2 linked regions of the Caenorhabditis elegans genome follow. The protein of the gene in region 2 purifies or fractionates together with the protein of the main gene of each other region. This does not show direct contact. Each region holds a gene or a part of one and is shown on either strand. Other genes may lie near its edges.

Evidence for each region.
Region 1: the proteins of R05A10.1 (region 2) and B0395.3 fractionate together in Caenorhabditis elegans (co-fractionation; one large-scale study listed by BioGRID). This does not show direct contact.

Annotation. Positions count from the first base shown.
Region 1 is NC_003284.9:16,034,256-16,041,148, forward strand, and holds B0395.3 (Choline/carnitine acyltransferase domain-containing protein), read right to left. Parts: upstream 4,977-6,893; 5' UTR 4,971-4,976; coding exon 4,910-4,970; intron 4,861-4,909; coding exon 4,757-4,860; intron 4,710-4,756; coding exon 4,629-4,709; intron 4,099-4,628; coding exon 3,926-4,098; intron 3,872-3,925; coding exon 3,706-3,871; intron 3,403-3,705; coding exon 3,231-3,402; intron 3,123-3,230; coding exon 2,941-3,122; intron 2,648-2,940; coding exon 2,547-2,647; intron 1,882-2,546; coding exon 1,625-1,881; intron 1,574-1,624; coding exon 1,473-1,573; intron 1,416-1,472; coding exon 969-1,415; 3' UTR 781-968; downstream 1-780. Other genes in the region: mboa-1 (O-acyltransferase), read left to right, coding at 292-422.
Region 2 is NC_003282.8:14,180,527-14,185,591, reverse strand, and holds the start of R05A10.1 (Abnormal cell migration protein 18-like fibronectin type I domain-containing protein), read right to left. Parts: upstream 3,216-5,065; 5' UTR 3,214-3,215; coding exon 3,070-3,213; intron 2,941-3,069; exon of another isoform or gene 2,920-2,940; intron 2,874-2,919; coding exon 2,664-2,873; intron 2,580-2,663; exon of another isoform or gene 2,556-2,579; intron 2,409-2,555; exon of another isoform or gene 2,382-2,408; intron 2,026-2,381; exon of another isoform or gene 2,004-2,025; intron 1,762-2,003; exon of another isoform or gene 1,741-1,761; intron 1,719-1,740; coding exon 1,620-1,718; intron 1,511-1,619; exon of another isoform or gene 1,490-1,510; intron 1,338-1,489; coding exon 1,157-1,337; intron 1,129-1,156; exon of another isoform or gene 1,108-1,128; intron 738-1,107; coding exon of another isoform or gene 617-737; intron 1-616.

The sequences.
Region 1 (6,893 bases), on a different chromosome or scaffold from region 2:
CCGTCATAAGTACTTTTTGAGAAGTTTTCAAGAAGTTTCATTATGAAATTCGGTGTTTTCAAACAATTTTAAGTCTAATAAAGAAATGGAAAAAATTCGACTACACCATCTTTAAGAAAGTAGCTCCCGCAAGAAGTTCCTATGAAAAATGTTATATCTAGTTGTCTGAGTTTTCCAACCATTTACATAATACCACCCACATTTTCGAATTTTCTAAAAAATCAAGTGTTCAATCTAAAAGAACATTGCTTTAGAACATGTTAAAACCACTAAAATACAACCATCTTTCAGGAACCGGAATGTTCATTGCTTTCTACGGCCAAGAATGGTACGCGAGACGTGGACACTGTGCCCCGTACTCCAATGCCGTTGTGGACCTTTTGTTCCCGAGACATTGGAATTGTCACCCACCAACTTCATGAAATCTCTAATTATTTGTCACACGGGGTATTCGTTTTTTTTTTTTGTATTTTGTTGATTTTATTTGAGAATTATTTTTTAAACTGTACAAAAGTTTTGTCACTAGTTTTTACAGAAAAAATAAATATTAGTTACTTGATAGAAGTTGGTTCATTGTAAAATATGCTTATTTGTACCAAAAATCTTTTGATCGGTCTGCTAGATAAATGCACACAATTTTTATGGCAGGAATAGCATATTTTAAACTATCGATTTTAGCAAAACAATTCTGAAATCAATCACATTTTTTCTCTATTTCTTGGCTATCACCCCAATATTAGATGTTTTGTAGATTTATCGTGGATATTTGTGATACACCTCTGACGGAAACGTATTTATTATACAAATTATTTATTCATATAAAATGTTTTCATAAAATATCTACAAGCATTTTCAATCAATTACAATAAAGCAGAAAAAAAAACATTGGGATCTGAACACGTAGGAGCACTAGTTATGGCGTGTGAAATGTTATTCTTTAAAAAAAAGTAGTATCAAAATATGATCTCCTACAACTTGGACATTTCTTTTGTAGCCTTATTAATAACCGATTTCATGTCAATTAGCGCCTTTTGAAGTTCCTTGGCAAACTTCTTGGAACTCGTCGAGCCGTAGCTCTTGAATGTTGAGATCATAAAGTGAAGTTCAGTTTCCTGTGGGTTGTAGCAAATTCCATAGCAATCAAGGGCAGATGGTCCGAAGCACATTTGGATGAAATGCCGTGTGGGAACTTGACTTGTGGAGACTTGGAAATGGTTGAGTTGTTGGTAGATGTTGGAACCGAAGATTTCTGGGGTTGGGAGATTATTTTCAGTAGCGATCAACTTCCATGCCAATAAATGTCTGTCCATTCCAGCTGCATCCATACAATCCATGGTGTACTTTTTATGCGAATTTGTTGCGTGAACAAGTGCATCGTAGATTTCACTAACCGGCGTAGGAGGCTTAGATACCATCTGAAAATTGAGTGAGTTAAATTGGGTGATCGATCTAGGTCACACACAAACACACACCTTCTTGACAAATGATGCTGCAGCTGTATTCGGAGATCGGATGTTCTCGGTTCGACCCTCGGTGAATTTACGCAAAGTGGCCGTCTCGTAGGTTGGTGGAACTGGAAATTTAATTCGTCATCAAATTGTAAGATGGGGGATAATTGACTTACGCGATGAGTGGATCCGGTAGAAAGCTAATTGGTAAGCCATTTGGATGAACGAGTCGGGCGAGATCTTTGAGGATTTCGGGAAATTCTTTCCGTAGGGCTTGAACGTGAACGCGACGATATCAAGGTCCTCGGCGATGCTGTCCATGTTCTTGGAGCTCTTGGCGATTCTTTTGTTGATTTCCTCGTCAGTGGAAATATCGAGACGTTGCACTGGGGAGTTGGAAGGTGTGCCTTCAGTAATGAATGTGTTAGCATCACTGAAAAATTGAAGGAAATATAATAGATATATTATCTTAAATGTTACTAACTGAAGATATCCAAGCTACCAGAATACTTTTTGCAACATTTTAAATAAACTTGTTTGATGAAGCGTAGGATCAGAAATATTTATATTGCTATGGTTAAAGGTGGAGTAGCGCCAGTGGGAATTTGGTCTGAATACACTTATTATGATCCAACACGACAGAATATCATAATAAAACACTCCAAACATTTTTCGATTTTTCATAATTTCCGGCCGAAGTTTTGGCAAACTGCCAATATTTTGAAAAACGACACATGCAATGTTTTAAGACAAATTATTTAAACAGAACTACAGTATAAAAAAATGTAGGAAAAATTTTTTTTTTGGTCGACTTCCAAAATTATATGTGGAAAAACTGAGTAACTGTCACTGTTTGACAGTAAATAAAAAAATTTTAAAAAACTTTTGAAAGGATTTATTATGATATTCGGTCATTTTGGCACCATGTGTAGGAGTAGTTTTTCACAAGTTCCCCACTGGCGCTACTCCACCTAAAGTGCCACAGTTCCGGTTTTTGACCCAACGATAAAACGAAAAAGACAACATTTTAAATTTCTGTTCAAATTCAAGTTTTTCAACAAATTTTTTTGTAATCAGTTATAAATTTCAAAAACTCACAATTGATCACAAATAAAATCCATGAGTGCACCGACTGGTGGTCCTTCGGCTGGAGTGTGCTCATACGTCATTCCGGTGTAGCCATTTGTTCCGATGACAAACTGAAATTTCCAGGTATATTTTTTGCTATTGCAATGCAAATGTGCTCTACTGATCAAATGCAAAAAAATGAGTGCATGAACGATAAACACGTGGTGTAAGAGTGTCTCATGTCGGCTTGATCTACAAAGATCTACAAAAAATGCGGGAGAAGAGACGCAGAGTTCTCAACTGATTTCGTCTGGTTAAGAACGTGTTGACGTATAATTTTTATGGGCAAAAAATTCCCGCATTTTTTGTAGATCAAACCGTAATGGGACAGCCTGACACGCCGTGGATAAACTAAATAACACACCTGAATAGTCTTGTCAAACCATCTGTTGCTCGAGTTCACTTTGGAGCCGCCACCATGCAGTGCCTGCCTACTTTGCTCATCTTTCTCCGTGTAGCCAACTGGTGGTTCACTAGCTTTGTCAAGACAGACTACGAACAACGATTTTTCGACGGCTTCCAGGGATTTCGCGTTGTTGTTATCCTCTGAAAATAGTATTATTATCAGCATAGCTAGCTTCAAAGAAAATCTTCACAATGGAGCTAAGCAAAACTTCTACATTTGGCTTGAAACTTTTTTTCTCGAAAGCTCACTTTTCAGCGATGAGTATACATTTGCCCATTTGTCGCGACTATCGGAGGAGACAATTCCCACTGGATGTGGGTTTGGAGTTTGACTCTCTGAAACGACTTTTGCCAGTTGCTGAGTAATAGCAAAAATTGAGAGTGGCTGCTCGTTGGAGTCTAGGACTTGGACGCGGAAGAGCTGAAAATGTAGGGAGATTTTAACGGTTTTGTTGAAATCTGTTTGCAATATTTTTTTCAACTTCAATTAGATGGAACAACTGAAGTCTTATGGGGTTATTCAAGAAGTGTCGAAAAATTAAAAAGTGTAGAAAAATTAGGTGCAAACTATATTAAAATACATTTTTTGAAAACTTGTATTTTAATACAGTTGTGACGTAATAAATGTATTTAAATACATTTTGCAACATTAATTGAATAACCTCATTAGTCTTTATAAAGAATCAGTGATACAATTTTTAAATAACATTTTTTAAAAACTCACATGTCCATTTCTAATCACTAAAATGTGTTGCAATTTCTCCTTATAGTCACATCCATATCTAATCTCATCTACGCCAACCTTAGGTACCCTAGTTGTTCCAAACAAGAACTGGTACTGGCTCATATCAAGCGGCGACTTTCCTGCCATATCAGGCTTCAACTGATTACTGAAAAAATGTTTTTTGAAAACTAAAAAACATCGAATTGAACCAGAAGCCTACTTTTTTGCTCGAAGGTAAAAGTGGACAGCGGCTTGGCTGATTTTTGCTGCATATTCCAGTTGTCCCTCCTCGGTGTTATAGTCAAATTTAGGGAACATGACTCCTGGAGATGTGACGACTGGAAGTGGGGTACGAGCAGCTAGGTAGGCGATGTTGAGCCACCATGGTGTGAGCTGAAAATCTTTTGTTTGAATCGGTAAAAAAACGCCAACTTGCTCAATTTTAAGATAGTTAGTTTTTAGATATATTATAAAACCATGTGTTAAATTTGGAAATCTATTTTTATGGCGCTGGCCCTGTCACTTTTTCAGCAACATTTTGATTTCATTTTGATGTTTTCAATTTATAGGCTGGCGGATTATTTTGTGGACCAATTTCCAAGAAATTGTTTGTTTTGCAAAGAAAAAATTATTTAATATAAACGCCCAACATTATGCCTAATACCTGATAGGTATTACTTATGCCGTTAAATATTTTCAAAATATTGTAAAGTTTTCTAGTATCAAACTTTTTAAAATTAGGTTTAGGGTACACTTAAAGGTGTCATTGGTTTGCAGTAAAGCTAAACCTATAAAGTTAATTGATACATTTCTATTTTTTTGGTCCAAACTGAAAATTAACTACTCCTAATCATAAATGGGGAAGTTGTTTTGAATTTATTTTTCTAATTATTTTTTTTAGAAAAAAGTGTTAAAAATCTTACCCAATTCGGAAGTGCGTCGGCTCGTTTCTGCAGCAGTTCTTGCAATTTCGGCAAATCCTTAACCACAAAATCATTTACAATCTGAAATTGACATTTGTTTTGCTCCAAATGTTTTTTTTTATTTTTACCTGTTTTGTCTCTTGAAATTCCTTTTTTGACTGCAACGCTTGTGCAAAGTCCAGGAAGTGTTTCAGCGTTTTAATTGGTTGTGGAGCCGGGAGTTTTGGTAGGTCTGAAACGTCATCAATGTATTTACAATCGAAAAAAAGGTTTAGTCTCACCTGTTGAATTATAACGGGCTGCACCGTGACCTCCGGCCATTGCGTTGACACTGTGCTTCATTAGTTGCTGCAAAATGAATTTTGAATGCTCAAAATTTTGAGGGAACAGGTAATCCCTCACAAAACGCTGCGAAAAGTTACTATAGTGATAAGTGAAAGACGTTTTGTGGGGGAAGACCCGGGTGGGGGAATGTTATCAATGATCATTCAGACTACACTACGCCGTAGTCCAAATTTTATATGGTCATTTTGGTCAGCATTTAATATTTTTGGGGAGAAACTCACGGAGATCTGTGGTCGAATCATTGTTTGACATTTCAGCATTTTTTCGACGGGTTTTGTTACTCAAATTGATGAATATAATGTAAGCTTGTATGAAAGAAAGAGAATGTAAAAGGGAATGCACCATGTTGGTTCAATGCAATTTTTTTTTAATTTAGCGTAAATAATAGAAGAGTGATCTGTTAACCAAAAAAATTTGTTGTATGTTAATTGAAAATTGTTTTGAAAAATTTTCAAAAAATAAATGAAGTCTCACAAAAAAATTCGTTTTTTTTTTGGCATCTGGCAATTTTATAACAACTTTTTGCATTTTCTCACATGTTTAAATTTAAATAATTTTTTTTTAATATTTTGGAACTAAATTTTAGTTAAAGAATAGCGCCTGTGGGGATTTGATCTACATACACTTGTCAAAAACAACCGAATATCATAATAGAACACTCAAAAAAATTTAAAAATTTAAAATTTTTCATAATTTCAAATTGCCAAAACTTTAAAAAATATGAGCAATGTCATATGTTCCAACCCTTACAATGTTTTAATACGATCAATTAAAACAAAATTAAAGTAAAAAAAATATAAGAAAACATTTTTTTTGGTCGACTTTTAAAATTATGAGTGGCAAAACTGAGTAATTGTCACTTTTTGACAGTAAATAAAAAAATTTCAAAATTTTTTTTGAAAAGTTTTATTTTTTTTATTCGGTCATTTTTAGCACTATGTGAGTAGTTTTCAAAAATATCTATACTATATCTTTATTTTTCTTTGGAAAATTTAAAACTTAAAAAACATTTTTAAAAAGTAACAAAACAAAAAAAATAATTTGTTGATTTTCAGAGTGTAAAAGTGTTCCAAATGTTTGGGGCGTAAGATCAAAGTGTTTAGAAAACGAGTGACGGCGGGTGAATGGCAGGGGTCATATGGGAAGAGAGGAGTGTGTGTGTGTGTGTGTGTGTGTGGTGATGTAGGGGGCACAAACAGAAAGACCAGGCGGAACGCAGAAAACACAGGCAGCGAAAACAGAAGAAACCGAGTAGTTGTGTTGTGTCCAAAGAGTGGGGGGGGGGGGGGGAGGAAATGGAGGCAAGTTAAGTTCTCTCCTACCACACAAAAACCCCGCGTGGTATCCACAAAGAGGCCGAGAAATGGAGGAAGAAAACAACGATGTGTAGCCAAATGGTGTGAGTTAATGAGAAGAGGTCATTGGATTTGGATGGCAGCCAGTAATTGGATTGTGTAGTGAAAGTGTTAATTTTTCTGTTTGACATTTTTTAAGACACAACTTATGGAAATTACAAGTTGAACCAAACGTTTTAATATTATTTCAGAAAACTAATGGAGTTTCATTATTAAAACTTTTTTTTTCAATTTCTGATGAAACAAATTTTAAAAAAATCGCCTAAGCATAAATATTTGCAATTTGCTTCTCAAATTCATAATTAGCGGAAATATAATGTTATTCGAATGTTTCCCCATCATTGTTTTTATTCCAAATAAAAAATTTTAGCAACATTTTGTCTTTGGAGTATTTTTTTTTTAAATTGAATACTTTTTGAAAGCAACTTGGATCCCCGAAAATTTGGAAATCTATCAATTGCAACTTTTTTTCTTTTTTTAAACACTTTTCTAATAGTTTTTTTTAGGAATTCGGCTATAACTTATATAAAAAACTAAACTTGGGCAAAAGTTGGGCAAGACTTTT
Region 2 (5,065 bases):
TCATTAGTGAGATTTTCGAGAATTTCACACAAAATTCTCATTTTCTTCGCAAAACATTAAATTTTCCATTTTCAAAATAATATTTAATGGAGTACTCTGGTAGTGTACTGTTTGTTTTTTTATATCATGGAAATTACTGAAAACGTGCAAAAAAAATTGTAAGTATGTTAAAGGGGGAGTACAGTTTGTGGGTATTTTGCTTAAATAGACTAAAACTGGTCCAAAACCACAGAATTTCATAATGAGACTTCACAAAAAATTTCCAAAAATTTTTTATGGCCGGTCAAATTTTCGAAAAAAAAAAGAGCCAAATTTTGCTAAAATCTAAAATTTCGCGCACTTTTCTTTGTCACAGCTGCTGGATTTTTGTTTTTCTGAAATTTTCACTGAGATTTTAGCAAAATTTGGCTCTTTTTTTTTTTCGAAAATTTGACCGGCAATTTGTGAAAATTTTTTGCGAAGTCTCATTATGAAATTCGGTGGTTTTGGACCAGTTTTAGTCTCTTTAAACATCTTTATGTTTCATCGGATAATTATGAAAATATGGTTTTTGACAAAAAAAAACCAAAGCCAAAAATGCAGGAAAAAACGACATAATGCCGTCATAATGTCGGCATTATGCCGTTATGCCGGTCATTTTATTTTTCGGCATAACGTCATTTTCGGCATATGCCGTGAATTTTCAAATCAGCATAACGGCATATGCCGTGCTCCAAAAACCGGCATTATGCCGGCATCGGCATATGCCGAATGCCGAATGCCACACAGGTCTGATTGCCACGTTCTAAAAACGAATTTAAACTGCAAAGTGTAGTCATACTTATTTCCAAAACATAACGAAAAGTAAACATAGATAATTTTAAGAAAAGTTCAAAATTCTCAGTTGTAAGTGTTCCTTGTTTATAAAAGAAAAAAAATTCCCACTAGATATTTTCGGAAATATCAGTTTTGAAAAAAAAATGGTTCGACATGCAGAAATTGCTGCTCTCCACTATTTTAAATTGACATAAAAATGAAGAATTTGATAAGCAAAACCAATTTTGAAAAAAAAACAGTAACTACTGTTTCAAATAGTTTATAAATCTGGAAAAGTTTACGAAAACTCAATTGTTCTCTTTGTCGAGTTTTCATTGAAAATTATTTTAAAAAAACAAACCCCCAATGACACTTCCAACTCCCGCCCCCTTGAATCCACCTCTTTTTGCTCTGAGTTGTGTTGGATTGAACATCAGAATATGAGTAACAACTGATGCATTTGTTCCAGTTATTGGCTTTTTTCCACCATCAACCAATGACCATCCCTTTGGCAAGTCCACACCATCAACATTGGTTTTTCCCTGAACAATATAACTTATGGAATTTTAGACATTTTAAGAAAGTCTAATTCATTTGGAAGCTTTATTTGAAATATGTGACTTTATGAAATATTTTGCCAAGTTTATCATGTTTCACTATGTTTTTTTAATTATAGAAAATGAACCGATACTAATCTCATGACGGTTTCCATTTTGTATTTTTCGTTTTTTAAATCGCATTTCCAAAAATATTAAATTTCACAAAATAAAATATTTTTTGCTGAAAAAAAGCTATTTCCCAATTCCAATATTCTCAAAACCTACCGGAACTTCATTTTTCTCTCCGTGTTTCTTCATTGCTGCTTCAAATCCTTTTGGCAATGGAACTTTGTCACATTCTGGCATTCCCATCACTCCACATGTCTGAAGGTAATACTTTTTTTTAACAAAGCCACGCCATGCACCAATGATGCTATTCATGAAACTGTTGTGATATTGAGAACTTGAAACAGTAAAAAAAATTTCAAGGCATACCGTTTAACATACATTGAAATATGAATATTTTTTCGATAAAGCTTCGATTTCTCAAAATTTATGATATTTAAAAGGACGAGTTGAAGAAATATTTAACAAAAAAATAATTTGTATCGAAAAAAATTTCCGCTGTTTTGACATGTTGATAATTGTTGAACGAAAAGATATTAAACATTTCCAACTGACACATTTTTATGTAATAAAAACCACAGAAAAAAACACATTAACTAATTTATTATCTCAAAATAGTGGTTTTTGTAGTTTTTTTAATATTCGTAACCCTGAAAAATTAGTTGATGCTCCAACACGTTGATGCTTTTTACGGTAAAGTTACAGCAATTTCTTTGCGAAAATTGTTTTAAACGCTTCTATGTTGGCTCAACAAGAATTATTTTAGAAAAAATTGCCATATTAAACCTGTAAAAATTATTGACCGTTGTGTTTTAAAAACTTCAACTTATCAAAATTTACTTCTACAGTAAAATCCGAGAAACGTAAAATTTTTACTGTTACAAGATTACAGTAAATGGTATTGAAGTATTATGGAACTAGTTTAGGACCGTTTGTGATGATTCTGGAGTATAAAAAATTGAAAGTCTATATTTTTATGGGTTTGTCTGAAACTGCGTAAAAATGTGACGGCCAATCTATCTTCACATAAATTTTTATATTTTGGCTTTCAGTTTCAGATAAATAACATAAGTGCTTTGAAACATAGTTAAAAATTATTTTAAAAATTGAGAGTTTAACATCAGAGGTCTAAATATTTGAAGAATTGGATGAAACCCTCCAAAACTCTTGCAATAAACCATTTTCTAATCCCCAAAAACTCACAGTTTCCTTATAAAAAACCGATGAACCCATTCCAAGGCACTGATGCTTCACGTTGTCCACTACCGCAGATTCCCCCAATTTCATTGTAGTTCCATCTTTTCTCTTGCATCCTTCAATTGTGTAAACGCCGTATTTTTGGCATTTGTATCGAAGATTTCCAATTTCAAATTCCTCGTTAGGTTGGTATTTTTTGCCGTTTTTGGAGCATTCCTAAAACTGGGAAATTTCGGACGAATTTTACAAAAATATACATTGATTAATCATAAAATTTAAATGAATGAGACAAAAGTTATGTCTTGAGTATTTCTGAACTAATAGAAACAGTTAATATTTTTTTCTCATTTTACTTTTTTTTTTCTTCGAAAATTCTATCCAATTTCTACACACATTCCCCCGTTGACCATACCTTTGGTAACATTTCCAATGCAGACATTACACCGGCCGAGTTGTTCATTTGGAACTCGTGTAGCTGTGACGTCATGGTTTTTGTAGTGTCCAGTGAGGAGACCAAAGACACCGCAGAAACAAGAATCAGGGAGTGGAGAATCATTACTGGAATTTTGTAAGGATTTGAACTTGATTTTTAAAAATGTTTTACTAGTTGATCAAAGAATTTTGGGAATTTGATAATTTTCACACTATAATGAAACATGAAAGTTTTCCAAACAAATTTGATAGCTATAAGAAGTTGAAAAGTTTATAGTTATCTTGTAAAGGGAAATTGTGGATATTAAGAGGAAAATAAAAGGTATTGGTTTTGTAATTTAAAACTTGTTAAAACAGTAAAATTTTCGTTATATTATATTCAATTTTTGATAGGATAAATTTACTGTTTCACTATCTCCATTTCAAAAATGAATTAAAAATTTTTTCTAATGAGCGCATTTGTATACACTGTGAGAAAAAAAACATATAAAATTTTATAAATAGTATTTTTTTGGTCCAAAAACGGGGTGTGGTAGTAGTAACACGTTTTCATTTTGTTTTGAATTTTTTTCGATATCATTGACCACACCTGCCCTCATCAATCAAGTTGTATTCCAACCTTGAGATGGTAAATGTTGACAGAATTCACAGTAGGTGGTAAGTTGGTAAAAGGTTAAAACTGAAACTTTAACGGTGTTTTTTTGATGATGGGAAGTTTGAAAAAATATGAAATGGATGAACAAGAATTTCAAAATTGGAAAAATTGATATTAGAGTGCTTTGAAAACCCGTTAAAATTATTAAAATTTGAGAGACTTTTTTTTGGAAATTCCGAGAGAACACAAAAAATACGGTTTCCTAGTTTGTTTTTTTGAAATAATGTGTTGTAATTTATGTTTATGTTAGATTGTTTTTTCGGTTGGTTTCAAAAAGAAATTTATAAAAATACAGTTTATTGGTGTTAGCAGAGACAGTTATAAATTTTATTGTTTATGTTTTTGAAGGCACACAAAAATTTGCAGTAGTAATTTTTATAAAGTTTTTCATTCAAAAAAAAATGTTCACAAAAATTTACCGAGGACTATTTCAATATTGAAATTTTAGAATCTTGGAAAATATTCATACACTGCAGCCGATTCAAAACAGGAATGAAAAGTTTCTACACCCCATTTTTTTCTAAACATACTAAAACAGTGGATAATTTTGTTAATCAGATTCAGGGCTACAAGCCAGACTAGAGTCCGATTTGTCTTGTAAAACGGATTCCAGATATCCGGCGTCCGTTATTCTAATAAAAATCGTACTTTATAACAATTTGAATTAAATTAAAATCATAATTTTTTAACTGATATTTTGAGATTTGTAAGCAATGATCACTCGAAAATTGAAACTACCTTACAGTATCAGTTTCTCAAAATGTTATAAAATAAAAATGATCACTTCTGATGTAGAAGGAAAGCAGAAACAGAAAGGTAGACAAAATATGTAAAATAAATTCTTTTTCATATTATTTATTGCAATCGAGCCGGGAGGGATTTTGTGTGAAATTCAGGAAACAAGCAAAATTTAAAAAAAAGTTACCGTTTCAAAATGTTAAAAAAAAACAATGATCACTGGTAATGAGATATTAATTTTATTCATCATGTAACTAGATTTTTTTGTACTGGAAATACTCGTTTCTCACGTTTTCCTCGAAGAAAAACTTGCTTCATAAAATCTCTAAAATATTTGAAAATCTAAAATTATTTTTCTCACAAAGCCGTTGTCAGTAAAGACTAGTAAAAAGCATTATTCTTGTAAACTTACTGAAACAGTGGATGTTTTGTTAAATATGTTCAGAAGTACAAATCAGTCTGTGACTATTTCGTCTGGTAAAACAGAATCCGGGTATGTAGAAACTCTAAAATAGAAACCGATGTTAATAATGTGATTATTTTTGTTGAATAAACACATGGATTCTATGCTTTGAGATAAAAT